4 linked regions of the Caenorhabditis elegans genome follow. The protein of the gene in region 3 purifies or fractionates together with the protein of the main gene of each other region. This does not show direct contact. Each region holds a gene or a part of one and is shown on either strand. Other genes may lie near its edges.

What was found.
Region 1: the proteins of mut-16 (region 3) and mut-7 purify together in Caenorhabditis elegans (affinity purification with western blotting; 2 studies listed by BioGRID, with this or other methods). This does not show direct contact.
Region 2: the proteins of mut-16 (region 3) and rrf-1 purify together in Caenorhabditis elegans (affinity purification with western blotting; 2 studies listed by BioGRID, with this or other methods). This does not show direct contact.
Region 4: the proteins of mut-16 (region 3) and mut-15 purify together in Caenorhabditis elegans (affinity purification with western blotting; 2 studies listed by BioGRID, with this or other methods). This does not show direct contact.

Annotation. Positions count from the first base shown.
Region 1 is NC_003281.10:9,537,624-9,544,749, forward strand, and holds mut-7 (Exonuclease mut-7), read right to left. Parts: upstream 4,758-7,126; 5' UTR 4,733-4,757; coding exon 4,543-4,732; intron 4,472-4,542; coding exon 3,655-4,471; intron 3,608-3,654; coding exon 3,470-3,607; intron 3,422-3,469; coding exon 3,227-3,421; intron 3,179-3,226; coding exon 2,477-3,178; intron 2,427-2,476; coding exon 2,041-2,426; intron 1,989-2,040; coding exon 1,862-1,988; intron 1,811-1,861; coding exon 1,633-1,810; 3' UTR 1,408-1,632; downstream 1-1,407. Other genes in the region: ZK1098.3 (uncharacterized protein), read right to left, coding at 1-518, 983-1,075; eif-2Balpha (Translation initiation factor eIF2B subunit alpha), read left to right, coding at 5,519-5,633, 5,686-5,951, 6,015-6,196, 6,256-6,457, 6,506-6,658; ZK1098.9 (uncharacterized protein), read left to right, coding at 6,828-6,969. UniProt on the Caenorhabditis elegans protein: Represses the transposition of Tc1, Tc3, Tc4, and Tc5, perhaps by degrading transposon-specific messages.
Region 2 is NC_003279.8:7,642,788-7,651,852, reverse strand, and holds rrf-1 (RNA-directed RNA polymerase), read left to right. Parts: upstream 1-2,075; 5' UTR 2,076-2,085; coding exon 2,086-2,193; intron 2,194-2,287; coding exon 2,288-2,446; intron 2,447-2,496; coding exon 2,497-2,817; intron 2,818-2,892; coding exon 2,893-3,015; intron 3,016-3,063; coding exon 3,064-3,207; intron 3,208-3,285; coding exon 3,286-3,465; intron 3,466-3,526; coding exon 3,527-3,793; intron 3,794-3,841; coding exon 3,842-4,384; intron 4,385-4,461; coding exon 4,462-4,641; intron 4,642-4,685; coding exon 4,686-5,048; intron 5,049-5,098; coding exon 5,099-5,210; intron 5,211-5,257; coding exon 5,258-5,715; intron 5,716-5,770; coding exon 5,771-5,972; intron 5,973-6,017; coding exon 6,018-6,289; intron 6,290-6,334; coding exon 6,335-6,514; intron 6,515-6,566; coding exon 6,567-6,702; intron 6,703-6,754; coding exon 6,755-7,281; intron 7,282-7,585; coding exon 7,586-7,835; intron 7,836-7,885; coding exon 7,886-8,005; intron 8,006-8,052; and 3 more. Other genes in the region: ego-1 (RNA-directed RNA polymerase), read left to right, coding at 19-548, 598-967, 1,020-1,186; ncbp-2 (Nuclear cap-binding protein subunit 2), read left to right, coding at 8,612-8,680, 8,774-8,955, 9,050-9,065.
Region 3 is NC_003279.8:10,077,631-10,086,935, forward strand, and holds mut-16 (MUTator), read left to right. Parts: upstream 1-2,528; 5' UTR 2,529-2,531; coding exon 2,532-2,771; intron 2,772-2,815; coding exon 2,816-2,938; intron 2,939-2,979; coding exon 2,980-3,159; intron 3,160-3,205; coding exon 3,206-3,330; intron 3,331-3,782; coding exon 3,783-4,174; intron 4,175-4,224; coding exon 4,225-4,347; intron 4,348-4,392; coding exon 4,393-4,505; intron 4,506-4,585; coding exon 4,586-5,015; intron 5,016-5,214; coding exon 5,215-5,523; intron 5,524-5,573; coding exon 5,574-5,634; intron 5,635-5,684; coding exon 5,685-5,757; intron 5,758-6,292; coding exon 6,293-6,411; intron 6,412-6,719; coding exon 6,720-7,443; intron 7,444-7,736; coding exon 7,737-7,889; 3' UTR 7,890-8,078; downstream 8,079-9,305. Other genes in the region: scpl-1 (CTD small phosphatase-like protein 1), read right to left, coding at 8,904-8,978, 9,158-9,238.
Region 4 is NC_003283.11:14,999,740-15,006,128, reverse strand, and holds mut-15 (MUTator), read right to left. Parts: upstream 3,587-6,389; 5' UTR 3,417-3,586; coding exon 3,380-3,416; intron 3,331-3,379; coding exon 3,263-3,330; intron 3,221-3,262; coding exon 3,175-3,220; intron 3,128-3,174; coding exon 3,055-3,127; intron 3,008-3,054; coding exon 2,839-3,007; intron 2,797-2,838; coding exon 2,321-2,796; intron 2,273-2,320; coding exon 2,149-2,272; intron 2,104-2,148; coding exon 1,998-2,103; intron 1,954-1,997; coding exon 1,824-1,953; intron 1,771-1,823; coding exon 1,500-1,770; intron 1,446-1,499; coding exon 1,320-1,445; 3' UTR 1,062-1,319; downstream 1-1,061. Other genes in the region: Protein hrde-2, read right to left, coding at 1-336, 390-592, 642-841, 887-1,010; fib-1 (rRNA 2'-O-methyltransferase fibrillarin), read left to right, coding at 4,161-4,200, 4,249-4,432, 4,480-5,030, 5,078-5,361; rps-16 (Small ribosomal subunit protein uS9), read left to right, coding at 5,592-5,741, 5,786-6,070; T01C3.11 (uncharacterized protein), read right to left, coding at 6,138-6,264, 6,308-6,389.

The sequences.
Region 1 (7,126 bases), on a different chromosome or scaffold from region 3:
AGTGGAAGGGTAATTTGTTCAAATGAATAATCATCAACTACTTCATGTTTCATAACAATTTCAGCTGCTTCTTTGAATTTTTGATTTTCAAGATATTCTTGAACTTTCGATTTTCTCAAGTCAATCACAAATTCTTTTGAAATCTTGAAGATTTGTAGTAAGTATTCTTCATTTTTTGGCTCCTTAACACATGCAAGTCCCGCCTTCTTTTGATAATATTCTGTCATTTGTTGTTCCATAATGCTTTGCTTATCTTGCATCCAATTCATGAAATTCATCAGAATCCATTTTGATAAAAGCGATCCAATGGGTTTCTTTCGCTCCGGAAGTTGTTGTAGCATAATCAGAATTATATCAAAAACATTCAATGGTTCTAATTCTTTTTCCGAACCCGTTTTAATTTCTTCATTGGAAACAGACTCTTCTGAACTTTTGAGATCTTCATCAAAGAATTCCAGAGACTTCTGATATATTTGTTCCTCCTTCACTGATTCACTTGATTTACTTTTGACTATATCCTGAAAAAATTCAAATAAAACTAGGTGCCGTATCATCTTGATTTGTGAATGACTTTATCTTTTTTAATGTATTTCCGAAGATGTGCTCATTTGAATTAATACTTTACTCGACTAATAACATTTGCAATCCCGCGAAAGAGAATATCCGATTGATAAAAAGTTGAAGGCAACCAAGTATTATAATTAGTTCAACAATTATATTATAGGAATACTAAAATCTGAGAATGCGCATAGTGCAACATATGTCTGCAGACAGATCTGACGCTCAAAATATCTCGTACACAATTATTCAAATGACGACCCGAGCACTGATGTAGATTTACGGCGCTGAACTTTCGAATTTATTTTACGAATTGTGACAGCGGTACGGTAGCTGCCAAGTATCGGTTGTTTCGAGACCCGCTACCGTATTTGTGGTTCAAAACTAAAAATTAGGGTCCCTCATTGAATGAAAAGAAGCCTACTTTGAAAATCTTCATTCTTGCATCAATAATCTCAAACTTCAGTGATTTTTGCTTATTTTCCGGAACATCTTCCGATGATGTTGTATCTCCCATCTTAAAAAAAGATTTTTATATCTAATAATTCAAATTTATGAAAAAAAAAAGAATTTAAAATTGTAGAGCCTTGCGAAATGAACATGTTAATCACTTTTCTCAAAAATTGGAGAAAGTTTTGAATTTAAAGAAGAGTCACTATTAAACTAAACATTTAAAATAAGCACGAAAAATTCATTTACAAAAGTAAAGAAGAATCAATTGAATGTGTTCCCGCTCTTCCACCTCTCTCTCATCCTGCGTTTCTTTCTTTTCTATGACTCTATTTACGACCTAGAATATATCGATCGTCGTAGCGCGATGTAGCGGTGCATCTCAGGAAAATAACAAATAAACAACAAAATATTCATTTGAAATGAATAATGCCAGATGAGGCAAAAATATTAACAGAATAAGTATTGAATATTAAAAACCGTTGAACAGGGAGAATAAAACTAGATAAACTTAGAACTATTACCGGGACGAGGTGATATTACATGCAGGACACAAAATGTGGATAGGAAAAAATAAGAAAAATGGTACAAGTTTAAAACGAGAAGGGGAACGGGATTTCGAATTCAACATTCCTGGCTGGTGCTCTCCGACGCTTGATTGCCACGACCATCACAAGCCACCGTACCGCATTCTCCACACACATAGAAGCTGAGATTTCGACGCTTGAACTCGTCATCAGGCACTTTGTGGATTCGAACTTCAATTCCATCTGGCAGATTGGTGTGAAGTGCAGTTTGTCGCCTAAATAAAGCCAAATTAGGTTTTAATAATATTAAAGGATAAATTTCTTACGTAATATGTAGGCATCCTGTGGGAACAGTTGCCACGATCCACTTGCTTGTTGGAGATGGTCGCGACATTTCCACTTTTACTCCGTCGTAGTCGTCTGGATTGATATGAAGCATACGATTCCACCATTCTATAAGTAAAAATAAATTTCCATGTTGACCGCAAGCGAGAAATAAACTAACCTTCCAGTGGAAATTCGCTCATATCCGCACGATAAACATTTTGCACATGGATGACACAGTATTGGTGCAAGAAATGTAAAACTGGTCCGGGGAATTTAATTTGAAGCCGAGAATTGCATTCAGTGCATCGAGGATATACGTCTTCCGGACGAATATCTACGTTGAACAGGTCGAAAAACTCAATAAGCTGATCTACGGGAGACATGTTATTGAGTTCCGGAATTGCAATTGTATAATTATCATAATCCATTTTCAAGGCTTCGTAACTTTTCGATGGCACTGTGATTATATGACGTAGATGCTCGCCGCCAACTCGTTCAATTTCCTTCAGGTACTTTCGGAAGTCGCTCACGTCTTTTGGAAGAATAACATCAATTCCAACTCTCCTGAAATAAAAATTTTCAACTTTAACATTTTTTAAAGATAAACTTCAAACCTCAGATTCTTTCCAAATCCAATCAGCATTGTGTCAACAATAACTTTAATGTCGTGTGGTCGCTGTGGTGATCTCGTAGGATTACGATGGCTTCGCAAGATATCGTAGAGCTCAAGCCATGGAATAGTTTTCAGCTTGCGGTACGATTTGTGTCCTTTGTCTTTTTTCGGAGCCATTACATTTGATTCTCTGACAATCTTCTCGATATCTGCGTCCTTGTTTTTCTCCTCTACAATCGACAAGATTTTCTTGAATGTTTCCACCACGACAACTGCGTCCAATGCTGCGTACACAATTTGTTTTTTTCGCAGAGGACGACATTGCCAGTTACTGCATTGTTCAGTTTTGTCGAGCTCCAATCCCAGTAGATAATGTGTCAAATCTGCCAATTTGAAAGTCTTCTTTGGCAGCTCTAAAATTTCCATGTCGATATCGCAAACATTCTCTGCTAATCGCTTCAGATCGAATGCATTTTTGGTATCTTCTATCTTCATGGATGACTTCAGTGCTGGGATTGTAGCCATTGCATCCAGATCGTTCCTCATATCAAATCCTACGACTTTTACAGGAGAATCTCCGAACAATCGAGATGCGAACTTTTGCCACCAGTCATCTGCCATATTTGCCTTTTCTAATTCTACGCAATCCACAAGCCATACACAATTTTTGAAGAACAATTGTATGATAGCAATTTTCGAGTCACTGAAAATCGGTGCATATGGAATTTTAAGAATGAAATTGTTCACTTACTGAACAGCTGTAAGATTCGACGGTTTCCACTCAGAATCGAATCCAACGTAAACAGGTGCTGGCTCGTCGCTTAGTGATTTGATCTCGGAACATAAGTAATTCATCTCAGATTCAGTTTTCACCATGTGGATTTGAGTTCTTCGCTCATTCTCAAATACGAATAATTGTTCGCCATTTAGAGGAACTTGCAGTGTTCTGAACAAAAATGGTTTTAAAAAAGTCGAAGAAATCGAAAACAATTACTTTCTTCTCACTAGAAGTTCTTTTGCTTCTCTGAGCTTCGAATCAGGTTGTCGAAAGAAGTCCCTCATAACATTCGGCAGTTGATAGCTGCTGGAACTAGCGATTCCTAAGTAGATAGCAAAGCAGATGGCATCTATTCTGAAAATTGAATTTTAGAAAGAAAAATCTTTTTGAATGTCACTTACTGTTTCTCGGTGTCATTTGAGCTCCACAAGTAAAACAAAATAGGTTCACGAACATCTTCGGCTTTGGTAAAAGTTTCAACCATATGCTGGAAATAGTTGTCATCGGATTTTCCCTTCTCGTATCGTTCACTGATATTAAACTTCAATGCCTTCAGATTCCCATTCTGTGAGTGGTTTTTGGCGAACTTCGACAATTCCCTGGAGAAGTTGTATTCGTGAGTATTTTTGTTGATAATCGTCGAAATGAGTTTGTCCAACGTTTTTCCCGTCAATTTCTCCATAGGAATCGTCATAATTTTGGTTTCCTTGTAGGGTTTCAGCATCTCTTCAACGGCAACCACTGAGATTCCAACCATTCGATCAAAAAACTCTACAAGCTGCTGTTGCATCCTCTCATTGTTACTTATCAATTTATAAGCCGTTTGATCTTTGCCAGATAGCATTAATGGAAGAACAAGATGTTCGAAATGATGATCCCGTAGAAGATTGTACTGAATAGCCATATCTGCAGCAACGGAGAAGTCTTGTTTCTTGATGGCAGCATCTAGCAACTGTGTAATGTCCTCAGTGAATTTCTCTTTGGTGATATCGAAGATTTCACTGAGAAGCTGCTTTTGTCCAATTGTGCACACATCTAAGGCGTTTATTTGAATAGTTCCAGTCAGATATTTCTGTCTGAGCTCCGTCTCCTGTCCCGACTCTTTTAACCAAACTCCAAAATCCTCCAGATACCAAACCGCCAAACTTTGTCCCGATGTTTTTCCTCTATCCGGCATCGCTTTCATCATATCCACAGCCATTCCGTAGATGTTGACTCCTTTAAATGTATAGATTATGAATGAGGGTTTTTTAAAGTTTTTAATAATAAAAGAACTTTAAAATGTTTACCTGATCTATAGTCCTCGTTGAAAAATTCTCGATTTTTGGCTCGAACTTTTCTCTCCCGCTCAGACTCGGGTCCATTCATAATTGCTTTCAGAACTTCCCGGCGTGACTTCAACGGTTCGGCGTAGTCTGTTCGATATTTTGCCTTTTTCTCGGCTTTCGTTAGCTTTCTTTTGTACGGTTCTTCTTCCATTTTCGAAACGGACAAGCTTGATTCTGTAAAAAGTATAAATAAATATTTGTCGAAAAGTTAGTACAAAAGAAATTAATCAAAGAACAAGGAAAACGTGTTTCCCCACGAGAATTCGTATTACGGAGAGGAAAATCTAGAAACGGCCCAAAAACCGAAAGAACAACAGAAAAGCGTTGTGGATTATTCGATATCCAGCACTTTTTGCACAAATTGAGGCAAAAATAATGGAAAAAGAACCAAGAAATCAATGAACAAAATGGAAAATGAATTTTTAAAAAATTGTCGATGGTATTTAAGATGTGCAGGTTAGCGAATAGTACTGTATCACGGCGGCGATTCAAATGATCTACGAAGCAATTACACGAGGAAAATTAATGGAGATTATGGAGCAAATTGAGGGAATTAATTATAGTATAAAAGTTTCGAAAAGGAAAATTATTATTTATTATCCTATTTAGTTCGCCACACAATGGGAGATTTTAGATGCGTAAATAGTTGAGAGTAGAAAGTAAACTGACTGACTCAAAAAATATGTTTAAAATGTTTATTCGAGATTGAGAAAATAAATTAAATTTCACGAAACCTTTTAAATACATAAGTAAAAAAATGTTTTGTTTTTAAATTTGCCACTATCAAAACTGTCTAACTCTCTAACTCTTATCTTCTCTGCGTAACGATAGAGCGCGTTTACATCATTATTTTTTCATTAAATTTTTTCTATAAATATTTCTTCTTTCTACGACAAACGTTCTCCATTATTGTTTTTGCAGACTTTTTCCATCTAACATGGTTCAAGAAAGCATTATTTCATCTTTCCGTGGAAAACTTGAAAACGATCCAAGCAAATCAACGAGTCTAGCCACAGTGGAAACACTGCTCGAGGTTTTAGACCGGAGTCGCGGTAAGTTCCTGAATTTGAATATTTAGGCAATTAATTTTTTGCTTAATTACAGCCACCACCGTTGCCGAATTTCAAAATGAGCTAAATCAAGTAGTTGCTGCTCTCGAGAAAACGGACTACAGCTCAACATCAATTCGAAGTGCCGCTGATTTGTTCACCAGATTCACTTCTCTGGCTCCAGCTGCTCTTCTCGATCAAGAAGATTTTTCTCAAGTTCTTGATCTGTATCGCCAACGAGCACGCTCATTTATAAAGAATGTCAGAGGTTCTCGAGCCAAAATTTCCAAGTGCGCTCGTCTATTTTTCACTCATCATATGGTACGTTTTTTTTTCTATTTAAATAATTCCTATTTAATGTATTTTAATCTTTGTATTTTCTAGAATATTCTGACACACTCATACAGCAAAGTGGTTCTGGAAACTATTCTTGATGCTCACAAAAGTGGATATCACCTTCATGTCTGGGTCACCGAATCGCAACCGGATGCTTCAGGAAAACTAGTGTTTGAAGAATTGAAAAAGAATGGAGTTCCAACTACTTTAGTTCTAGATAGCTGTGTGGGGTGAGTGGAAATTATAAAAAACAATAAGAAAAACGTATATACATTTTTTATTTTTTAAGATATGTCATGGAAAGAATTCAAGCAGTTCTAGTTGGCGCTGAAGGAGTCATGGAAACCGGTGGAATCATCAATAAAATTGGAACTGTTAATGTTTGTATCATCGCAAAATCACGGCATGTTCCCGTCTATGTTTGCGCTGAAACTATCAAGTTTGTACGGGAGTTCCCACTCAACCAGGCCGATATTCCCCAAGAATTCAAAGTAATCAATTTATATCAAATAACTCAATCAGATCTTTCATTATTTCAGTATCGAACATCAGTAATTGAGAGAAACAACCTAGAATTGGAGCATCCCGATGTGGATTACACCGCACCCGAATTTCTGACACTGATCATTACTGATGTCGGCGCAATGAAGCCTGAAGCTGTTGGAGAAGAACTCATTAAAATGTATATCTGAGGGTAGAAATTTATTTGAACGTGTATTTAATTCAATCAAATTAAATTAATTTGTTCTTGTTTTGTTTTTTATAATTATGATTGGTTTTTTTCTTTTACAAAAATAAAAAATAACGTGGAACCCAAAACTATTCATTTCGAGTTTTTAAAAACGCTCATTCATCAAAAAGATGAGTGAAAAGCACTTTATTTTGCCATCTAGCATGCTAATGATAGTTTCGGCTGTCTTCGGAGGTATCGGAATCATCACTACAATCGTGTTCGTGATTCTGACAGTTCTTCATTCAAAAAGTGCGGTTTGTAAACCTGCAGGTTAGTTTTTGTTGCGAAATTGTGCAATTTTTACCCAGAAAGTACGGTTCCCGGTCTCGACGCTACAATTGTTAAATTCTGAAAGGTGTGTGCCTTTAAAGTGTACTGTACTTCGAATTTTTAGACTTTTATTAGTTTTTCGATATTTAAATATTTA
Region 2 (9,065 bases), 2.4 Mb from region 3:
ATACTATTTTAATTTCAGAGGAAGCTCGAATAACTCGAGAAAACAAGAAATTGTCGTTCGCTTGGCTCGCATATGACGTCATCGCAAAAGTGAAACAAGACAAAAGTCTTACAAGTGACGAAGTTAAGATGGGTGGAGCAAATCCATTGTACACAATGCTTGACGACCACAGATCTCAGTATCTTGTCGATAACTCGAGAAAATTCGAAGCTTTTCGACAATTTTCAACACCTAAAACTAGTGGAGAACAAGTGAAACGAGCTCATAGAATCATCAAAATGTACACAGAAACTTATCCAGGATTGGATGCAGTCTTATTCATGTTAGACGAATGGGCACGGATTTCAAATCTATTTGAAAATCAATCACTTCGAGAATATCATTTATCACTGCTATTTATCCTGTTTGCTACAAGGCAATTTTCTTCCGTTGATGGAAATGCTGCCAAGTTCTTCAATAAGGTCGATGAGAAAAGTTACAAGCAGAGTAAAACAATTGGAGACTTTGAGCCCAGTTTATATATTGAGGAAAAAGGAAAAAGTCAGATGGTGAGAAGAATATTTGTGTTATTTTTTTTATAATAATGACTGTTTTCAGATGGTGAAGTTTCTCGAATTTTTGGCCTCGCGAAAGTTCCGAAAAATGGCGAATCTCTCATTCTGTGCTCTTGATTTCTCATCAATTTTCATGCGAGGAGAATGGCAAATTTTCCATTTGGCCGCACTCAAAACCTACTACAACGTGTTATTCAATTTACGATTCGAAGAACTTCCTGTGTCAACTGATCCAACAACTACAGTTCGTTCAATAATTCGAGAAAACGAACCGTTCGTGATTGAATTACCAGCCAATTGTGATCGTTCATTGGTTCATCGCAAGCTGGTAGAGCATACTGGTGTAAAAGAGATATTCATGCGAAACATGGAGAAATCAGTTCGCTCTTCGGATGATGTGCAAAAAATCAATAGTGAGTTAACAAAATCGAATGGTAAACAGATTTAATTTTCAAATTATTATAGTGCGTCTTCTGGTTTCTACACGTGGAACTCTCGAGTCAATGTACAAGTTGCGTCAACTGGTTGCTGTAAAAGTTCCCATCAAAACGTACGTAACGGGACAAGATGTGTCTACACAGATGGCTCGATTGTGCTATGAAAAGATTGTCAGAGGACACATCAACATCTAGAATGTTTCTCTTATTCGTTTTTAGCAGTGTTTTCAGAGATTTTAAATGTTTAATATGGTTTTCATTTTAAATTTTATTTTTCTGTTTTTTTTTTGCATGTTTTAATTGGCATGCTTATTTCTGTTTCTTTTTCTCATTATATTTTCCTGTTGTTTCTTTTGCTGATTGATTGAAATGGATAGGTTTCTCCTTCTTTTCATCGTTTTCAGCGTTTCGGTTATCTGTTTCAATGAATTGTCTGTTTTATTACGAATCCGATATTTGTATTTTATTTGTTATATGCGTTTTTTCGTACATGATTTTCCTATTGGATAGAATATAGCCAGATTTCTTGAAAAATTGAAATGCTGTCGATTTTGTTTGAATTTTGGACCAAACTATCGAACTTTTTTCCTTCTCGACTGAAATCAACATTTTTGAAATGCAGTTGTTTTTGATCAGAAAAATTTTAAAACATTTTAAATATACAACTTTTTAAAGGTGCTCAATTTTCCGAGATGAAATTAAATTTCTTTATTATTAGAAAATAGTTTTAAATGAGTTTCCGTAAATAAAATTACGGAATAATAATCACGATACTTGCTCACTGTTGCATTGTCACCACAGTGTCTTTTTCAGCTGTCTGCGTCTCCGACGGGCAGCGTCTTTTTCAGTGAACCGATTTTTGCATTTCAGCGGGTTGTTAACTTTCAAAAAATGTTTTTGTAAATTTCAAAGTGAAGGTTAATGAGAACCTAATTTATAGTTATTTTTAGTTGTATAACAGTAAAAATTTAAATATCCAATTGATCGATGGCAAATTTAAAAAATCTTTATTTTTGTTTGTCTTCCATAAAACCTTGTTTTTCGTGCGTTGGCCATTAAAATTTATCTGTATAAAATTTTTCAGACTCCTCGTCATGTCGGAACGAAGTCATGGATTCATTAAATTTGAATTTCCGGAATTCGATAACTCGCTTCAAGTCATCGAAGGAAGTATCGATACAATGTTACTGACATTTACTTCAGTGCGTCATGGTTTTGAGAATTTTAATTCATTTTTTGGACATTTTTCGATTAAAAAAATGACGCTTGTTTTAATAATTATTATGATATTTCTAGGTTCTTCGTAAATACGAAATCGAAATCAAATCCCGTCAAGAAACTCAAATTGTTGAAGAACAGGACTGCGATTGCTTCTTTGAAATAAACTTTGAAGTTGAGAGCGAACAGTTTGATCACACAATTATAGATGCTATGCACGATTATTTATCAGATTTGGTGAGTACTTGAATTCATATTGGACGATTTCGAATTAATTTTATTTTCAGAATGTGTACGTTCCGTATCAGCGGCCTAACATTGTCCTTCATGGTTCCGATTTTTGGTTGAGAACTCTCGATTGTCACACAGAGATTCCACTTGCTGCGATTTATTTTGGAAATATACAAGGAGGCACATATTTCAATCATTGGCAGGTTTCATTTTCACGCGAAAACATATCGTCAAGAGATATGTTGCATAAGATACACGCCGAATTTGAATTCGATAAAACTGATATGATAACAGTACAATTTCAATGTTTCGAGGAGAAGAAACAGAAGTTTGAGGATTCGAGGAAACAAAAAGTTCGAGTGAACTATCAATTAACAGTAAGTGTTTAGCTGTAGCTATCAAATCCAATACTGGGAGAATTTCTTAAAATTTAATTAAATTCAAAAATTCAGATTCGAAGGGATTCAATTCGTCGAATTATTGTCGATCCACGAGTTGAAGGATGCAACACATGTGTTCATTTTGAAGTTAATTGTCCCCCACTCATCAGGAAAGGATATATTGATAATGATAAGGTAATTTAATATTGATCACAGATTTTTATAACAATTCTAATTGTTTAGTCATCGTTTCATAAACCCTTCTATGAGCGTCAGAAACGGTTCGATTGTGATTGGAGAAATGGAAATGTTAATCATGGTAATCCACAAGATGCTGCCATCGCAGATAGTCCTTTCTTCACAATTGAGTTCCATAAAGAAATATCAGTGAGCTATTTTCTACTGTTTTATGATAGATTTTGATGATTAAGCATCGTTTTTTATTATTATTATTCTCTAATTCAGACAAAAGAAATGTATCGTGTGTTGTCTCGTCTGAGGTCTCGAACCAAAGTTCTGATTGAATTTGCGAATCTTCCGAGCATTGATGTTCCGATGGGCAGTCACTATCCATACAACCGGTGGAATTTGAAGAAATCGCCGACCGACTCAAATGCGCCCATTTTTAGAGAGTTTCTGAAAGAGGTGAGTTAGTCTTTAAAAAAACAAAGAATTGCCTCAATAATCTGAGTATCAATTTTTGCAGATATTCCCACCGAAATATGAAATAGTAGATGATAAATTGATTGATGTTAATGAGGAACGGAAGTTTTCTATCACATATTTGATTGAATGTCTGTTGTCACGGGGAGCTATTGTGAAAGATCAACTACTACTGAATGAGCAACATTGGAAAAATTTCCTGGAAATTATCATTTGGTACTACAGGAATGATAATCAACTGTGTGAAGCTGCCTTGGAAGATCTCGTTCATTTAATTGATGGTAGAAAGCGAATCGGATCAATTTTGAAGGTTGTGTTTTTTGCATATTTTTTGATAATTTTTTTAAAAATTTTTCAGTGCCTAGATAAAATTTGCCAAAAACGTGAGGTTATGAAACTGGTTAATGGTTTAACAGAAAAGGAGAGCATAGAAGGATATCAACGAGTTCGAAAAGTTATCTTCACACCTACGAGAGTCATCTACATTGCACCAGAGACGATCATGGGAAATCGAGTTCTACGGAAATTCGATAAAGATGGCACCCGGGTGCTTAGAGTAACATTTCGAGATGATAATAATAAGAAAATGAGATCAAATGTTACGGGTAAACTTCTCGACAGGACGGCGAACAAGTATTTGGAGCACGGAGTTCGAATTGCAAATCGTGAATATGGTTTCTTGGGATGCTCAAATTCACAAATGAGAGACAATGGAGCATATTTCATGATGAGATTCACAGACAAGCAGCTTGATCGCTTCTACAAATGTAATCCGACAGCATCGAATATAAACTTCAAGCCGAAAATCGACGAAGTTCGATTTCAATTAGGAAGATTCTCGGAAATTGAAAATGTTCCTAAGTTGATGGCGAGATTGGGTCAATGCTTCACTCAGAGCAGGGTATGTTTTTAATTTTTATTCAGTTTCATGGATTTTTTAGTGATAACTTTCCATCATAATACAAGTATGAATTTCAGCTAACCGGTGTCGGACTTGGACGAGATGATTACTGTAGCACGTACGATTTGACTGGTGGACGAGCGACAAACGGAAGCGAGTATACATTTTCTGACGGAGTTGGAATGATGAGCTATCAATTTGCACAGGAAGTATCCCAAGCGATGCAATTTGGAAAAGCTGTTCCTAGCTGCTTCCAGGTAAATTAATTTCGTGTGAACTTAGGTAACTATAGTTTTTGCAGATTCGATTCCGCGGAAATAAAGGAGTCATCGCTATTGAACCCTTTCTGGATGAAATTCGTAAATGGGCACTTGTGAACGGTGTTACTTCGATGAAAATGGCGAAATGTTTGTTCCGTCCAAGTCAAATTAAATTCCAAGCTAAGGCTATTTCGGGAGACCAAATCGAAATGGTAAAGTTCTCGTCAGCGGTATTGGTTGCTCTCAATAAACCATTCATCAATATTCTTGATCAAGTTTCCGAAATGCAATCGTTGGATTGTCATAAAAGAATTACGAGCAGAATTGAGGAATTGATGGATCGTCAGATCTTGTCATTTGCCAAACAGATGAATGAGGAGACCTTTTGTAGAAACAAATTAAAGGTTTGTCTGAAACATGAAATAATGAAACTTTTTATTTGGAACTCTTTCAGGAGTTTCCACGTCGTATTGATATTGATAACTTGAGAACAATGTGGGGATTTACATTGTCTAGTGAGCCATTCTTCCGTTCCCTAATCAAGGCATCCATCAAGTTCTCAATCAGTGAGTTTTCCGAATTGTTTTCAATTTCTCAATTTTATTATTTTCAGCGAAACAGCTTTGCAAAGAGCAAATTCAAATTCCCAGTGAACTTGGTCGATCTATGCTCGGAGTAGTTGATGAAACTGGACGTTTACAATACGGACAAATCTTCGTTCAATACACGAAAAATTACAAGAAAAAACTTCCACCGCGAGATTCCAACAATAAAGTTCATGGAAGTGAGATTGTCACAGGAACCGTTTTGCTCACTAAAAACCCTTGTATTGTCCCCGGAGATGTTCGGATTTTCGAGGCTGTCGATATTCCAGAACTTCATCACATGTGTGATGTAGTAGTATTCCCACAACATGGACCGAGGCCTCATCCTGATGAAATGGCTGGATCCGATTTGGATGGAGATGAATATTCTGTTATTTGGGATCAGGAATTACTTCTTGAAAGAAATGAAGAACCTTTCGATTTTGCTGTTGAAAAGATTAAAGTACCATATGATAGAGAGAAGCTTGTTAGTTTTTTTTTGTTCATTTTTTTTTTAAACTTTGGTGTAATATCAAATTTAGGACGTCTTGATGCGTGAGTTTTATGTCACATATCTGAAATTAGACTCCGTTGGACAAATCTCGAACAGTCATCTTCACAATTCTGACCAATATGGGCTGAATTCGAGAGTTTGTATGGATTTGGCAAAGAAGAATTGCCAAGCTGTTGATTTCACAAAGTCTGGACAACCACCAGATCCATTGGAAACGAAATGGAGGGCCGGTACGTATGCGTATTCATGAATATGGTGTAACTACCTATTTTCAGATCCCGTAACATTCGAAGTTATCCCTCCTGAAAATCCTGAGCGAATTCCTGACTTTCATATGGGAAATGAACGAAGTCCGATGTATGTCAGTCCAAGGCTTTGTGGAAAACTATTCCGAGAGTTTCAAGCAATTGACAATGTTATCAAGATCTCTGAAGAAAGGGATGAACAATATAATATTGAACTGGATGAGACTATCTTTGTTACTGGTTTTGAGAGATATATGGAAAGTGCTCAAAAACAATTATCCAGTTACAACGGACAACTCAGGGTTAGTTTGAAGGCTGAGTAAAGTTTAAATACCCAAATTTTACAGTCTATTATGGAAAACTACGGTATCCGGTCGGAAGGTGAAATCATGTCAGGATGCATTGTCGAAATGAGAAATCGAATTTCGGATAAAGACCAAGATGATATGTCATTCTACAACACTAATCAAATGATTGAAACAAAAATGACATCTTTAGTGTGCAAATTCAGAGAAACGTTCTTCGAGGTACAGTTTATTTCAATATTTATTTATTTTTTAATTTCTATGCCATTATCAGGAATTTGGTGGATTCACAGTAAAATGTACACTTTTACCAAATGCTTACGATAACGGCAACTGTCTCAATTACCGTTGCGAAGATCCAGATCAGGAGGTCAGAAAGAAAGCTGTTGCCTGGTATCGAGCTTGTTACGGTAATTCAATTTTTTTGTTTCAATTTTTTGAACTATTGTAATTTCTTTGTAGAGTGTGCTCAATCCACGAGAGAAGTTCGGAAGCTTTCATTTGCTTGGATTGCATATGACGTCATTGCCAAAGTCAAGGAGACTAATGTATTGAATAACGAAAGAATGCAGATTGGTGGAGCAAATCCCATGTACACTTTCCTAGAAGAGCATCGAAAACAATATTTGATTGATCACGATGCGGATTTCAAGAACTTCTGTGAACTCGATCATCTAATTACCGGTGAAAAATCAAAAGAAGCGATTTCCATTCTGAAAATATATCTGGAGATGATACCAGGGTTGGACTCTGTGTTCTTCATGTTAATGCGATGGGGAGAATCATTACGATTGTTTGATGGAAAACCAATCAAGATTTATCACTTTTTCCTCATGTTCATTCTTTTTGCAACACGACAATTGGCATCTGCTGATGGAAATGCAGAACCGTTTTTCAAAATAATTGAAAAAGAAGAATATGAGAAACAGAAAAGAGATTCATCGAGAGGCAATATCGATCCACTTACTGAAAAAAAAAGATCAGATATGGTAAGGAATAAGGGGGTCATCGAACATCGTCGATTTTTCGATTTCTTCGAAAAAGTATGAAAAAAGAAGAGAAACCTTTGAATTTTGTCTATAAACATCTATATTTTGATAACAAAAATAAAAAATTCATTGAAATATATAGAGAAATTATAGGAAATTGTAGAAAAGTTGAAATTTTACCGAATATAAAACAAAAAAAACTTGAATTTTCGATTCATCAAAGTTGACATAAGTCCATTCAGCTGTATGATTTGTAGTCCAACATTGGCGAGAAATTCAAAGCCGAATTGTGTATTTTTTTCAGATGGTCAAATTCTTCCAATTTATGGGATGTCGGAAGTTCAGAAAAATGTCGACTTTATCCTTTTGTCCTCTCAACTTCTCATCGATTTTTATGCGTGGAGAATGGCGAATATTCCATGAATCAGCTCTCAAAACCTACTACAATATTCTGTTTAATCTACGTTTTGAAGAGCTTCCAGTATCATCTGATCCAACAATTACAGCTGAGACGATGGATCGAGAGTGTGAACCATTTGTTATCGAGTTACCCGGTATGTAAAATCTTTTGGAAATAAAAAAAATTGAGTTTTTTTTCATTTAGAAAATATAAATGTGAATGATCTGATCAATAATATGAAGAAACACACAAATGTTTCAACTGTAAAGATGCGGCGACAGGAGAAAAATCCGATAAACGATAAGGCGAAACCAAAGACTACAGGTAATTAAAAACTCTTCATATTGGTAGCATAAAATAATTGTTTTCAGTTCGTTACATCGTCTCCGTCTCCGGAACTCTCGAATCAATTCAAATGCTCAAAAAGCTTTCAGCAGTTACAATTCCAATCAAAAGTCATTGGGAAGGAGAAGAAGTATCACAACAGATGGCATCTCTTTGCTATCAAAAAGTTATGAATGGTGAATTTTAATCTCGTATTTTTGTTGAAATATGCCATAGACTCTGTTAATGTTTTTTCTTCACTTACATTTTCAAACCTTGTACTATTTTTTCTGTTTTATTTATTTTTAATTCCTTCTACCATTTGTATTTGTGTGTAAACTGACCAATTCCATCATCAAATGATTGATTAATAATTTTAAAATATTTTCTCCGTGGTATAAAACATTTATTTATTTTAGATTTTCGTTTCGTAATCGATATTCCCAATGTTATTTCGTTATCCAATATCTGCTAAATGAGGGTTGATAAAATCCAAATTCAAATAACCTCGGGTTTCAGTTAAACAACACGCGCTACGACACTCCGTTCTCTTTTCGAATTTTGTTCGCTGAAGAGTGTGTCTGTTTCTTCGTTCTTTCTTTTAAAATGGTCTTCGATCCAAGAACATTGGATAATCCTAAGGAAATTAGTGCTTACAGAGATCAAAGATACCAGGTAAGCCTTTTGTTTTAACAACTTTTCGGGTTTTTATCGAATAAAAGGTGTTGTTGCACAATACGAATTCAAATTTGTAGTTCTCAATTTCAGGGAACCGTTCGAGACCAGGAGACTGCTCTACGCACATCATGTACACTTTATGTTGGAAATTTATCATATTACACTAAAGAAGACCAAGTCTATGAGCTGTTTGGAAGAGCCGGTGACGTCAGAAGAGTGATCATGGGATTGGATAGATTCAAGAAAACTCCTTGCGGATTCTGCTTTGTCGAGTGAGTTTTTTCCGCGATTTTCATTGCTTCTCTGGACTTTTAACCCGAACAAATAAAATTTAATTAATTTTTATTTTTATTTATTGATTTCCAGATACTACACAAGAGAA
Region 3 (9,305 bases):
TTCCAGATGTTCTTTTTCCTTTTTCTGTGTTTTTCTGCCGTCGACTTCCTATGTTTCTTTCCGTGTTCTCAACAGGGGTGTAATAAGCTTCAAGTGTCTAATAAAACGATTCGAAACAGATTTCCTTTGCATATTTTATTTGTCTGTCACAAAAAAAACATGAATGAAAAAAAAAACAAAAAAGACCCAAACATGCAATAAGAGGAGGTAATTAACGGAGGAGTAGAATTTGTGGTTGTTACACTCAAATGTATTGAAACTTTCCCGAAAAAACCAAATTTCATATACTGAGATATCTCATAAAAATTTAATGTAAATTATCACTTTTCCAAATGACGAGTTCGACACAAAATTCGATGAATACCAAGGTTGCAAGTTGTCCATCATTTCTCTCAATATCATATCCATCTGTACAATCGAGTTCTTCCATTTTGTATCTGAATATTATTTTTCGATGTTTACAAATTTTTGGATTTCGTATTTGGGTAATTTTTATAGCTAACCAGCCGCAACCCTAAAATACGACTATAATACCCCGACGGCGCCAGATCCGCTTCGTACATTTAACGCTAATTCTCTTACTTCGTCTTTAACTAGGAAATTACAAGAATATACGATGAATGTACGAATGGGGGAGATTGAAAATCTTCGCAAAGTCTGTGAATGTGCTATGAAGCGATTTGCCGATAGCAAGTTAGAAGCTTTCTTCTGGATAAGAAGAAACCTCTGCTCAACTGTTATTGGACGATCTCAACATAGTCACAGATTGTATTGTTAGAATAAAAAATAAAATACTGTTAACATTGCATGACTGATCGGTTTTTTCGACGTGGAATCAGTTCTAAGCTGTTCGCTCACAAATCCCTGATACAAATTCCAATCATTTTGAAATAAAAATGCTTTAAAATTTCACTGTTCATTCCTAGATTGCAAACTTTTGGGTGACGTAGGTTCTTTGGAGACAAAGTGTCCAAAGTGACAAAGGATCCAGTAGACAAAATGGGGTGTATCTTGGGGCCAAGGATCAATGGTACCAACCTTTTTTCAACTAGTTTCTTATATGTATTTTTCAGCTAATTTTTGTTTATATTTCACTGGAAAAAGTTTTTTTAATGCACTTTCCATAGGATTTTCGGTCATAATTCGCTCAGATAAACTTGTAAATGTCCTTTCCGATCGATTTATTCACTCGATTAGTCGTTGAATGTATATGGTGAGTGAGATTATGCGATGCTCAAAATGAATTTTCAATTTTCCCGCCGATACAGAAACTAATTTTGATTAAGGAACATTGTGGTGAGTGCGCGTCTGGTCCCGACGCGAAATTAATTTTAATGCTTTGAAACTTTTTTCTAATATTTTCGTTAAAAATTAAGGTTTATAGCCTTCAAAAATTATATATGGTCTTCAATAATTTTTTATTAAAGCTTTCAAATATTTAAATCTGAAATCTTAACCAAATTTTAAAACTACATACGATTTAATTTGAAATCATACACGTGAAATGAGTGTGACCGTAGTAGAAGCGCCGCTTTGTTTGAGTTGTATTTGAAAAATGTATTTTCTCCTTTTCAACTTTTAAAACTGCGATTTACTTCACCATATTCGTTATTTCTTTTCGTTTTCAAAGTAATTATTGTTTAGCTATTCAAAAAATTACTAAAAAGCGATAAAATTCGAAACAGAAGGTGTTAATTAACATGTTAATTGATCCTTTTGTGGCCTAAAAATAAACTATTTACCGATACACTTTCATAATAGTTCTTTCGGAAAATTAAAGTACTTTTTTGTCGATCGGTTTGAGAAAATGTGCCGGTGAATTTGATTTTATATATATATTTTTCAATTTTAAAAGCCAGTTTATCGTATACAAACAAATTTCTGTTATGTTTTAATGAAGCGACTGTTCATTAGTTTAAAAAACATGCCGATTTAGATGATTTTTTAGTTTCAAAACGTTTTCTTCAATTCTAATACTTGTTTTCGATAGAAATTCAACTTTTCCTGAACGCAATGCAATCGCGCTCTATCGACGTTTCAATGAATAACCGTCAATCATCTGCTTGCCGATCGAATATTTAGAACGCGTTTTATTGCTCCTTAACATTTTTTATCATTATTTCAATTGAAAAAACCATTTAAACAGTTTTCCAATCAGTTTGTTTCAAAATTGCCTTCCAGATCGAATTTCATTTAAATCTCAAGCACTGGAAATTGAAGAACAAGCTTCCGAATTCAAAAACAAAACAAAATATTAACTGTTAAAAATCTTTATAATCTATGATTATTGTTTATTGCAGACTTATCGGCTCAAAATGAAATGAATTAACGCAACAGTGCACGACTTGAAGTTTTAGCTATTATATATATTATTGAGAGACCTTATTACAAATTTCGCTTGTTTGTCCCAGAATCGTAATACTTCCTGGAATAGAAAGTTTTCTTTAATGCCTCTAGCAAATTATCGTTTACTTCTCATTTATTGCCGTTCAAACGTTTCAACCCACTCAAATACTCGATATTTGCAGAAAATGTCCGAAAGTGATGATGATTATCCGGAATTAGACATCTCCGATCAATATATCGATCCATTGGGGATCGTTGTTGGTCCACCACCCGCCTCGTATACGGAAACTGATCGTGAAGAAACTCCCATGCAAAATCGAACTGAAGATGACACTAATAGCTATGGAAATTCATCGGGTGAACATGACTACGATAGTTATTTGGATTCAGGAGACGATGACTTTGACGTGGATGCCTACTATGCGGTAAGATTCGTGTTCGTATATTTCAATTTTATTTTCTGATTCAGAATGACAATATGGATGAACCTCCACCAGAAACGATACCGGACAATCTTATACAAAACGTCATCGGAAGAAATGATAACGCCGATTATGATTTCAGCGATGCAAGTAATCCAGAAATCATGAAGGTATTTAAATACTTATATGATCTCGTGACCTAATGGTTTAGCGTGATCTTCAGCTGTTCCTGAGCTCTTCATTGCTGAGCAATCCATTGAAATTCCGTTCTGGATACTCCTCGGATGAATTGGATGATTGTTTGAAATCTTGTATGGGATACAGTCTTCAAGTAACAGCTGTTTTATTGCTTCCTCCAGAAATTATTTCTCAGCTTCCAAACGATTCCAAGGTAAATTACAATGTGCATAGGGAGACTATAACTTAATTGTTTTCAGACCGAACACGCCCATGCACTTGTACGAGGAGGTTGGCTGCAGTCCAAAGAGGGCGCATTCTTTCCAGTCATTTCCGATTCAGAACGTGAGACTGTTGTTTCGTTGATGAATGGATCCGAAGAACAGTGCGTTTTTTTTGTCACGAAAAGCTCTGAACGACTCGAAATAAGGCACCGGCGATCAGAGAGACGCTATTACAGGCTTTTTTTGTGGAAATTTTTATGTGAATTATTGTTAAAAACAGCAATTAATTTGTTTTTTGCACTGAAACCCCGTCATAATTGCTCTCGTAAATCGATATAATTCCCTATGTTCATGGAATAATCGAATTTGAATTATTTTATTCTTGTTTTGAACATATTTTTTCAAAATCAATAGCGAAATTGCTCAAATTCCATTTTTTTTAATCGAATGACTATTGTGCCGATTCACGAGAGAAATTAAGAAAATATTTCAGTACAAAAAAAAAAAATATATAAGTTAAATATTTCTGAGCTCTCCTTGCCAAATCACCACAAAAAAAACACAGTCTCTTCGATCGGTGGTGTTTCCTCGAAATGGCGTATAAAATTTGCAGGCACAAACGCCAGGAAAGGAAGAAAAAGGAAGCAGATACATTTGAATCCGAAGAGAAGGAAATTCGTACTCTACTCACATTCAACATGATTGCGGAATTGTTAATGGCTGTCAGAAATGAATATAGCATTCGTTCAGTTAAATATCAAATTCTTTCAACTGCTTATACAAATATGGTTACTGGTGCGGCACATGCGAATATTTTTCGAAAATATAAGGATATTCTTCAACTCGATCCAGAAAAACTGTGGAATAATGATTGGTTCAAAGAGTATACAAATCGAGGAACACTGAAGAAGTTTCTAACAACTGCAAGATTTTCTGAAATTGTGGTTTCACAAGCCAACGGCAAAACTGTAGAACTCTATTTTAGAGCTGACGATGAAGGAAACCGTGAGTAACTAAAAATATTTTCGATTTATTTTCAACGTTTGTTCATTCAGGACCAGTTGTTCTTTTCACTGATGAACATATTGCGGATGTTAGGAACAAATGGAAAACCGGCAATCAGAGAAATCAGAACTACGGAAGCCAAGGCAATTATAGGGCCGGTGGACAGAGATCAGGTACATTGCATTTTTTGTGATTATCTAAAAATCTTTCTTTTCTAGATGATCGTCGTGGTCCACAACAACGCAGAAATGTAATTGTACCAGATCCGAATTATCAACCATCGACTTTTGCTGGGGGCATTTCTAACAATGCAGATGATGATGGATCGTTGGTGAGTGCGATAAAAAAAACATTCATTATTCACAAAATTCTTTGTGTGCAATATAGAAATGAAATTTATGTGATTTTCAGCAACCAACAACTTCATCGCACTTTAATCGAAATACTGATCGGTCAACATCTCGTCCTCCACGTGCACCCACTTCTCCAGTCAATCGTGTGATGGAAACAGATCCACTAATGGGCCAAGGCACTTCGTCCGGAGCCCCTCAACGATCCGCGATTCCGAATCCATTTGGTGGAGCACCAGCTCTTAGCAGAAGCACAATCACCAATGGTAACCGTGGTCCTTCATATGGAGATCGTGGTGAGCGTGTTCAAGATGTCGGTGATACGACATCAGATAGTGAAATCACTTCTGAAGGATCCTACTCTGATGAAGATCCCGAGCAAAAGGAGATTAAGCGTCAAAGAAGAAAGGATAAACTTAAAAAGAAACAGGAAAGAGAACTAAGAAGTCGTGAGAAGCACACGAAGTCTAAGCAGCAACCTCCTTCGAAAAGTACGAATTTTATCATTTCCAAAGCGGAGTTTAGTGAATGGGGATGATGCTTCGTTTTTTTTCATTTTTCTATTGTGGTATTTCTGAACTTGAGACTATTTTAAATTTTTGAACTTTCAAACACCAACGATATTCCGCCTTACAAAAATTTTCCAAAATCACCAATTTGAACTATTAAATTTATGAAAATCTATTTCAGTTGAGACTCGATTCAATACGTACAAGAAAAAATCAGAATCATCTGCTACTGACACTTCCAATACACCTCCAGTTGACACTGTGAATGTAGCTCTCCCGACTCCAGTAGTAGAATCGTCTTCTACGACCGCAGCACCGTCAATCCCTGTTTCGACACGTCCTGAAGTCGTCGTTCCACCTGAGAATCCAGCTCCACTCAGAGAAGTCGGAAATTTCTACTCTAAATCGAATCACGACGAGGATAGACGCAATGTTCAACTTCCTTTCACACCAGCGGATACGCACAAACCGATTAAAGTTGCGCCAAAAGGTATTTTAAGCAGTTTAGGACTCGTCTTAATAGCCTAAAATCAGTTTCAGAGCCTGTACGGAATCCGCTTTTGAAAGAACGACCTTCAGCCAATGGTTTCATCAACAGAAGGTTCCTAGCTTTAAAATTTAATCTTTCAATTACCAAAAAAATTATTGCAGACTGCCATCACATCCAGCACCACCACCAGTCAACCAAAGTCAACCAGCCAATCAACCAATGCAAACAGCTGTGGTAATTTCATTTTTAATAATATTTTAAGTCTAAACATTCTATCCACACTTACGTTAGAAAAAATTGTTAGAAAAATCTAATGCCTCCGTGCATTTCTGTACCACTGAAATTTCATAGTGATCCAATTTTAATGACCGTAGTCTTGAGAACTTTGACTGTGTATCTACAACAAATATTTGAAAATTTGCGAAAAATTGTTCACATGATTACATTTTCGATCTATTTTTGCTGTTTTCGAAATAGTTTTGCTTCACAGTTCGGATAAAGTTGAGAGAAATGTGAAATTATAATTTATTGAGTTCTCTGGAAGACAGAAAAAATTAACAGAAAAACTGAAAGAAAACAGTATTGTTCACGTGAACAAGAATTGGGACATTCTTTTAAAAGACTGAAGATCTTTTCCATTAATTTATTGTCCAACACAGTCAGAAACTTTTCGAAGTGATGCGTTGGGTATTTGAACCATATTTCTTTAACCATGTTCGTTTTTTTCTCAAATCCTACAAGTTTGAAGTCATAATCATTATCTTTTCAGTATCAAAACTCTCATCCGGGTGCACCATATATCCCTCAACAGCCAACATATCAGCCACAGCTTCCTGTACAACAACCTCAACCACATCAATATGCGCCTCAACCAATACATCATCAACAGTAAGGATTATACTTAAAAATTCATTCCAAAAGTTAAATAAAGAACGCTCAAATGGACCCAAATCGAATTTTTTGATAAGATTTCGCAAAAATTTCCGAAATAAAAAAACTCTTTTTCGGTTAATAAATTCATAAATTTGACAATATTTTCAAGAAATTTGATATTATTTGACCATCTTTAAAAGTAATGTAAAACAATTCGCGTAATAATTGTAGTCTTGGGGTTTTCATGCAAGCAAAAGACATATCCTTTTTTGCTAAAATTGAGAAAAAAAAACAGAAAAATTCACAAAACTAACATTTTTCAGGCCAATCCACCAACCGATGCACGGCCAACAGTATCCGCCAGTTAATCAGCAGCAACCAATCTATCAACAACCGGCACCACAGTATCCACCATACAATTCAATTCAGAACAACCCTCAACATGGTCCTTCTCCATTTAATTATTCTCAAGTGCCACAACCTGCTTATAATCACGTTGGCCAACAACCATCACATATGAGCAATCAACCTCATATCAATCAAAATGGATATCAAAATTCGTACAATCCGAATCAGGGTCCGACTTCTTCCGATCCAAATTATGGATGTAATCCACAATTCAATCATTATGGCAGTAGATCAGTTTATCATGAAGATCATTCATCACAAAGAAGAAGATCACCTGATCAGTTTCCACCAAATCCTCCAGAATACGATCCACACGGAAACTTCAAACTTGCTGATTATGAAAGAGATCGAATGACAGTCGGATACAGTCAAAATCCACATCAATTTGACCATCACGGAAGTCATATGCCTCATCAGTCACAACCACAAGGATATGACAATTTTAACGGAAATTCTGCGCCGTACTTTAATAAAAACGGAGGACAATCAAACCATCAACCGGAAGCTCAAAGATCTTTTAGTGTTCTCTCTTCGAATCGTCAGCCATCGAACAGGGAATTAATATTTCAAGATGGAATTGAGAAGGAATTGAGAGATATAATTCTCCGTTATCGAAGCATGAACTTGACAGTATTGACAGTAAGTAGTAATTTTCGTTGAAAGTTTCAATTTGTTCTACGATGTGATATTAGTAATTATATAAAAAGTATTACGAGAAAATTTGATTGACACATACGAAAAAAATCTTTAAAAATAAAGAGTATTTTCAAATCATCTCTACACTATATTTTCGTATAATTAAAACAAGCTTTTTACTTCGAAAAATGCCATGTTTTTTCTTTCAAAAAGACTTCTTGATTAGAGTAACTGTACCAATTTTATGTTAAGTTTTTTTAATGAAAAGGTTTTCGTTAAAAGTGAATTATTTTCAGGTACAAGAACTGAGAACAGAAGTGAGCAGACGTCCTGCTATTCCTCGGTACATTGATATTGTCCAATATATTAGAGATTCTTCATCGGTTGCTATAGTGGAAAGAGGTGACATTGAGCCGTATGTCGTTTTGAAAGATGATATCCGAAACTAAGAATTTACTTGTTCCTATTACTGTTCCATTTTTATTTGTATTCACCCACTCGTCTCAATTTTTTCATTTTTTCTAAACCCATGTTTTTTTTTTTTAATTTTCGTTCTTATTGACTGCCTACTGATTATTACCTGTTTTTTCATACTTGAATCGCCAAACTTTCCTAATTAATATTTTTACGAGTCCAAATTTGTGTTTTAATATTTATAAAAAGTAGAAGAACCGGGAGTCAACTGATAATAATAATACTGCACGAATATTGGTGGTGACGGTGACAATTCAAAACAGGGATACGTGTCTCTGGGAAAGGGATGAAGGGAAAACTCGGGTTGAAAATTGGAACGAAGGCACTGGATGGAGGATGAGGGATGCACGTTTTCAGTATTTGGGGGTGATTGCTTCAGAATTGGCAACTTTTTGAATCTAATTACTGTTTTCCTTTTCTTTGGAATTTCAGAAATATTAGATTCAAAAAGAGAAAATAGCTCGTATTTACAGCATAATTATACTAAAACGAATGACAAAGTGCAACTACGTAGGGGAAAAATACAAGAAAACACAAAATGACAAATTTTGCAAATTTTGGTGAAACTATTTTGGAGAAAAATGTTGTCCAAAAAAGGATACACACTACGACGGTTTTGAAACTAAAATTTTTCTTTTTTGGAAACACTAATAAGGGGCAATAATTTGATATTAAAAGATCACAATTCGGATGAGAATGATGATGATGCGATGGGGGGGGGGGGGGGGGGGACTGTGGAGAATTTAACTGGTAAAAAAGGAAAACAAAGAAGGGCAAGTGGGACAGAAAAAATCCAATTAGAAATCTGAGAGAAAATGGGAAGAGAGTGGGGAATCCTGAGTGGATATGTATTTTCATTCGAATTTATTTCGGAAAGATTTGGATTTTTATTTGGGAAAAGGCAATTATAGTACTTTTGTGATTTGAGCTACGACGACGTCTCGAACAAGAAAACAGCTACTTTGTGAATTTATGATATGACGTATTAATTAGCAAGAGCAGTGATTCAGAAGCTCGGATTGTGGTCCTTCTTCTGGTCGATACAGATCATAGATGCTTGAGAACTGAAAAATGTTATTTTTACTTTTAAATTAGGCGATTTTGAAAGAGTTTTTCAAAATAATTTTGAATTTCCAGTATATTCAGTATTCAGTCACTTTTTCTTAACAAAAACTTGCCCAATTAATTCTCATAGAAAATTTTGGCCAATAAATAGTTTTCAAAAAAAAAATTAAATCCAAACCCCGTTTAAGTGCTCCAAAGATGGAAGAATATCCAAAAGCTCTGTATCTGAAGGATCATCAAACCACGTCGTCACTGGTACCTGAAATAAAATAAAATTTTGAATTATAGTTGAAGTTATCGTGGAAAAAAATTGGAAAAATGAAAAA
Region 4 (6,389 bases), on a different chromosome or scaffold from region 3:
TCGTAGTCATATTCATTCTCGTCGTTCTCGCTCTCATCCGGCGAGTACTCATCGTTGCTCATTTCGATATCCATATTGATCATTCTTGCCGGAACGAAGTATCTTCCTTGGGCGTTCGGGCGAATTTGACGAATACTTTCGTACTGGACCTTCTCTTTCTTTGCGGCTGGTACTGGAGCGGTCGACATGGGCGATCCTGAAGATCCAGTGGTGTTGGAAGGGACCATCTCGGCAGATCCGTTGGCTGCGTCCGATATGGCAACTGGAACTGAAGCACGAGTTCGGCGGATTTCCTCAATACGCTGTTGCTGTTCCTCAATTGGCGCACAATAAGTTCTGAAATCAAATGATTTATTGTGAATTTCTCGATTATCTTTCTTTTAGCTTACATGACGAGTTCAGCAACCCACGTTGGCACAGTACACTTTCGATTGTAAAGTTCAAAGCTGACGACCTTAATTTGAATTTTCTCTAAAATCGACACGACAATATCGATGAAAACTATTTTGTTTTCCTTGTGTGCCGACTTTTCAATTCCATGGAGCATCCTCGGGAAAGCTTCCACGTTGGACGGGAGTCCGTAGAAAATATACTGTAAATATGTTGATTGCTTTCTAATTACTGATTTTTAGAGGTTATACCGAGTCCGCGAGTGGCAAATCAACTTCATCAAATGCATTGTAGCTGCAAACTGCGAGTCCATTGCGATGGAACTTTGTCTTTTCTTGAATCCCACCATCGGGCATTTCTGTCAGAAACATAGACGATTCCATTCTCTGCTTGTTCAGCGTCAGCTTAATCTTGCGAGAATCGTCGTGCTCACAGAGGATAATCGTTGTCTCTAGAAAAGAACTAGATTTTTAATTTTAAAAAATGGTTTAAATACCTTTTCGTCCAATATAATCGCGAATCGCATCGAATTTTTGTTGAACGGACGAATTATCGGCTTCCGCCATCTTGTGAACTTCCATCTGGAGTCCAGAATCAAAAGTGTCGCTGTTCTGCGACATACTTCCCGTCTATTAATCTGTAAAACTGCAAAATAAATAAAGTATTCGAAAAATCATCAAAAATGATTATTTAAAATAGGTCATATAAGATATTGAAAGATAAATTGAATGAAGCTGTAACCATAGGATTCAAAACAAGAAATATGAAACACGAATTCAAAAAACATTGTATGTTACAAAAAAAAACAAAATACAAAAAGTTTAAAACCAGTAAAATTAAGAATCGTGTGAATGGGACGGAAAGAAACAAATAAATCAGCACAAAGATGGGGAAAATAATTTTTGAGAAGTTGGAAGAAAAATACATATTTAAACAGGAACAGCTGATGTTGCAGTTGCAACAGCTGCAGTTGTTCTCGATTGTCGATCCGCCAGGTATTTTTGGTAAAGATCGCGGAACCACGTGGGCGCTCGTGTTTTGTTGCATTCGAGAAACTGAAAAATTATCATGATTGTTTGAATCTTTCGATTTTGAGAAAGAAAAAGAACCTTTAAATATTCGCGAACGAGGCGAAAGTCCTTATTCTGGTCGATAATCATGTATAACTTCAGTTTCACTCCAATAATCGAAGCGAGGTTCTGCAACTCCGTCTCCATAATTGTTTGAAAATATAGTGGATGCGGAGAATCAAACATAACGATAGTGTCGACGGCGCCTCGGTGAACAGCGCGAATTGATCTCCAGTCGATCACAAGCACATCGAGATTACCCGTGCGAAACTCAAAGTTTCGTTTTTCCACATCTTCTTCGGAGTCGCATCTGCAAAAAAATAAATATGGAATAAAAAGGACACTATTTAGAATTGAACATACGTTGTAATTTTATGAATATTATAACGAAGGTTCACAGCTAAAGTTTGCATTTTCAGCCTCAGGTACATCATCACACGAATACATGTTTCCGTCGTTCGTGTTATGACGAGAATGCGTTCACGGCGGGGTTCTGAGAAAAATTTTATACCGAGTTTATAGTTCATATCAACTCACTGTCTCTCCGTCCAGATCTACCGTTATCTGCCGCTCTTGCATCTCTTTCTTTTTTGATCAACATGGTTAGTATCTTCAGTTTTTGTGTTGATTCGGTCAAATATTGCTGAAAGAATGAAAGATTAATTCAAAATTTAGACTCAGTAGTTACCGAGACAATTGCGGGACTTATATTATTATTCTCAAGTGTGCTCTCCTGGGTCGGAAGTAGACTAGCAATTTCACTGATAGGACGTACCAACTTGCATTCGATATTGGAAAATACATCACGAACTCTGGAAACATTCTAAGAATAGCACAAATTTTGCGAATATTGCTCGAACCTCGGATTATCAGCTTCAATGAGCACAGGTCTTTCCATTTTACCTTTGCAAAACTCGAGTGTTTCGGTTAACGAGGCAACTGAACTTGAGAAATGATACGCGAAGATGAATCGTGTCAAAGAACTTTCAAAAGTTTGAGCGAGACGTCCGAGTGAGTCGGCAAACTCACTGTTCCCCTTCAACTTCTCGGCATTATTAATGATAACAAAACGTAGAACAGATATAAAATCATCCAACTGTTCCATTTCATTCTTCAGCTTATCGATATACTCTTTGATTTTTTTGAATGAACCAATGAAAACTCTAGATCTATTCGATGTCATGAATTCATTTGACAGCTCAGTTGTGTCTAGATTTGTTATATGTGTATTTGGACGAGTGGAATTAGAACTTCTTCTCTTGTTGAGTAGGCCTCTCATTACAGATTTCGAGCGTTTACCGTCTGTAGTTATAATAATGCATCGCGGAAACGGTTTCTGAAATTAGAATCAGTTATCACTTCCACTAGCTTGGCTAACCCTATGCGAACGAAATCTGTCGATGGAGTGCAAGATGGGTTGTCCGTAGTAAAACTCGTGATTTGGGCCTGAATGAATGCAAAACAAATGTTCGCCGTTGTGAAAACGCCCGAGACTGCAATATAAAGCATCTTGCAATGTTCTCCATGGACTGTAGCCTCGGCGGCCACTGAAAATATGAATGTATTTTCAGAATTAACGACGGGATCGAATGACCTGATTGAAAACTTCATCAGCTTCCTCGTTATTTGCAGCGACCCGGTTTCAGACGATCTCACATACGCTACTTCTTCAAAGTATTAATTTCGATGGTATCTTTAGTATGATATTTCAAACCTTCTCTTGAAGCTGCCGGTCCCCACTCTGGGTTATGCGCTCGAGCCTGGAAAACATGAAATAATTGCAGTCATTCATTAATCTCAACTTCTTTGACCGAAAAACATGATCTCCTTGCATTGCCCAATCCATCAAGATCAAAAGCATTCACGACACCTGAAATGAATAAAATAAATATCCCATTTAGCTCATCAAAAATTGTCACCCATGCTACATATGCCGATTCCATTGGAGTTATCCATTTCTTTGATACTTATCTAAATACTTCCATTCAAATCCTGTTATTTAAACCCGTGCGCGATATCTGAACAACTCCGGAGTGTTTTTCAATGCTCGACTCGCTCCAGCAATCGATAAACAGAATGGGAATCGGTTTCGCTGCGTTCAAAACATCGGCCGGAATATTCTGGTTTCTGAGACAACGAAACGTGAAACATCTATCAAGTTTTCAACCTTTTTTCGAAGCCATGATTAGTATCATAATTTAAAACCTGTTTTTTTGCTTGACGTTTTTGCATATTTCAATCAAAACCACCTTTCATATCGCTTTGATTTTCAATTTTAGAACAAAGCCCCGCCTACAATTGCCTGATTTCGTTCTACGCGAGCTGTTTGCTTGCGAATCGATAAAGTGTCGGTTGTGTGGCAAGTGCGCTCCACTGTGCAGGTCTCGCAGCGATTGCCATTTTCCACCGTAGTTCCCTCCAATGTCTTCTCCATTTTCGTAATTTTTTGGTTCGCCCAAATTTTTTTTCGTCATTTTTTGCCTGAAATGTTCGTTTCTTCTCAATTTTTCTTGGATTTTAAGAGTAGATTTGAGAATAGTGGATGATTCTAGTCGATTCAGATCGACTGGAGCGTGATTTAAATCCATGACTCTAAGTGAAATGGGATAATTCTCAATCTTACTCGGCTCTCCCACGGCTGAGGTATGTATTTTTCGTAATTTCGCTTTTCGTTTTTGTTAAATAATCGATTTTTGTAGTATGGGACGTCCAGAGTTCAATCGTGGCGGCGGCGGCGGAGGTAAACTGAATTTCAGGATTTTTTCGTATTATAAATATTATTTTTCAGGTTTCCGAGGTGGACGCGGTGGAGACCGTGGTGGTAGCAGAGGTGGATTTGGAGGCGGTGGTCGTGGAGGATATGGCGGAGGTGATCGTGGCAGTTTCGGTGGAGGTGATCGCGGAGGCTTCAGAGGAGGACGCGGAGGTGGAGACCGCGGTGGTTTCCGTGGAGGAAGAGGCGGTGGTGATCGGTTTGTGTTTTATAATTCTGTTCGCCATCAAAACGATAATTTTTCAGAGGTGGTTTTGGTGGCCGTGGATCACCAAGAGGAGGATTCGGAGGACGTGGATCTCCAAGAGGCGGAAGAGGATCACCACGTGGTGGACGCGGAGGAGCCGGTGGAATGCGAGGAGGAAAGACTGTCGTTGTCGAACCACATCGTCTCGGTGGAGTATTCATCGTGAAAGGAAAGGAAGATGCTCTTGCCACAAAGAACATGGTTGTGGGAGAGTCCGTGTACGGAGAGAAGAGAGTGTCCGTCGATGACGGAGCTGGCTCAATCGAGTACCGTGTGTGGAATCCATTCCGTTCTAAGCTCGCTGCTTCCATCATGGGAGGATTGGAGAACACTCACATCAAGCCAGGAACCAAACTTCTCTATCTCGGAGCTGCTTCTGGAACTACTGTTTCCCATTGTTCTGACGTCGTTGGACCAGAAGGAATCGTTTATGCTGTTGAGTTCTCTCACAGATCTGGACGTGACCTTTTGGGAGTTGCCAAGAAGAGACCAAACGTTGTCCCAATTGTCGAAGATGCCAGACATCCACACAAGTACCGCATGCTTGTCGGTAAGTATTAAATTTAAGCATTTTTGTGTTTAATATTTATATTACAGGAATGGTCGATGTCATCTTTTCTGATGTTGCTCAGCCAGATCAAGCTCGTATTGTTGCTCTCAATGCCCAAAACTTCCTTCGCAACGGTGGACATGCCGTCATCTCTATCAAAGCTAATTGCATTGACAGTACTGCTGAGCCCGAGGCTGTATTTGCTGGTGAAGTCAACAAGCTGAAGGAGGAGAAGTTCAAGCCACTTGAGCAGGTAACCCTGGAGCCGTATGAGAGAGACCACGCTGTCGTGGTTGCTGTCTACCGCCCAGTCAAGGGAAAGAAGGTCTGATCTCCAAAATCATCGTTACATTTTTTTGTTTTGTTATTTTGTTACATGTATACCTCCATCTTGATCGTTAACACTTGTTTTACTTGTTTCCCAATAAAATGTTGTTGATGCTGTCATGTTAGGGATGTTTTACTTTTATCTTTACTTGGTTCTCAACCTTGCCGATATTTCTATTCTACTTTAATTGTAACCTTTATTTTGTTCTTTGTTTAATATATTATTACAGGGTAATGACGTCTACCGTGCAATCGGTTCAGACCTTCGGGCGCAAGAAGACTGCCACCGCTGTCGCTCACTGCAAAAAGGGACAAGGACTTATCAAGGTCAACGGTCGCCCACTTGAGTTCTTGGAGCCACAGATCCTGCGCATCAAGCTTCAGGTTTTTGTTCCGACATTAAATTCCAACTAACTTGTATTTTTCAGGAGCCACTTCTCCTCGTCGGAAAGGAACGCTTCCAGGATGTCGACATCAGAATCCGTGTTAGCGGTGGAGGACACGTTGCCCAGATCTACGCTGTCCGTCAAGCCCTTGCCAAGGCTCTCGTTGCCTACTACCACAAGTACGTTGACGAGCAGAGCAAGAGAGAATTGAAGAACATCTTCGCCGCTTACGACAAGTCCCTTTTGGTTGCTGACCCAAGACGCCGTGAGTCCAAGAAGTTCGGTGGACCAGGAGCCCGCGCTCGCTACCAGAAGTCTTACCGTTAAATTCTTTTTGTTGCACAATAAAATTGTTATTGAAAAAAAAGATTTATGAGATCGAATTTAAAAAGATTTAGAAAGTGAAGCTGAGCAAAAGCATATCAAGGACAAAAATGAATAGTATTCCGGCGATGAGGTCCAATCTTGAGTGTTTAGTTTTTCTCGTGTAGGCAACTTCGAATTGTTGTATTGGTTTAGAGCTTAAAATTCAATCTTATTCTGGTATGGTATAGAAACACTCACCAAATGCACTCAGTTTGAACTTCGCTGATTCCCGTTCCGTTTATTGTACACGTTGATCTCTTCTGCCGAGCACGACTACATC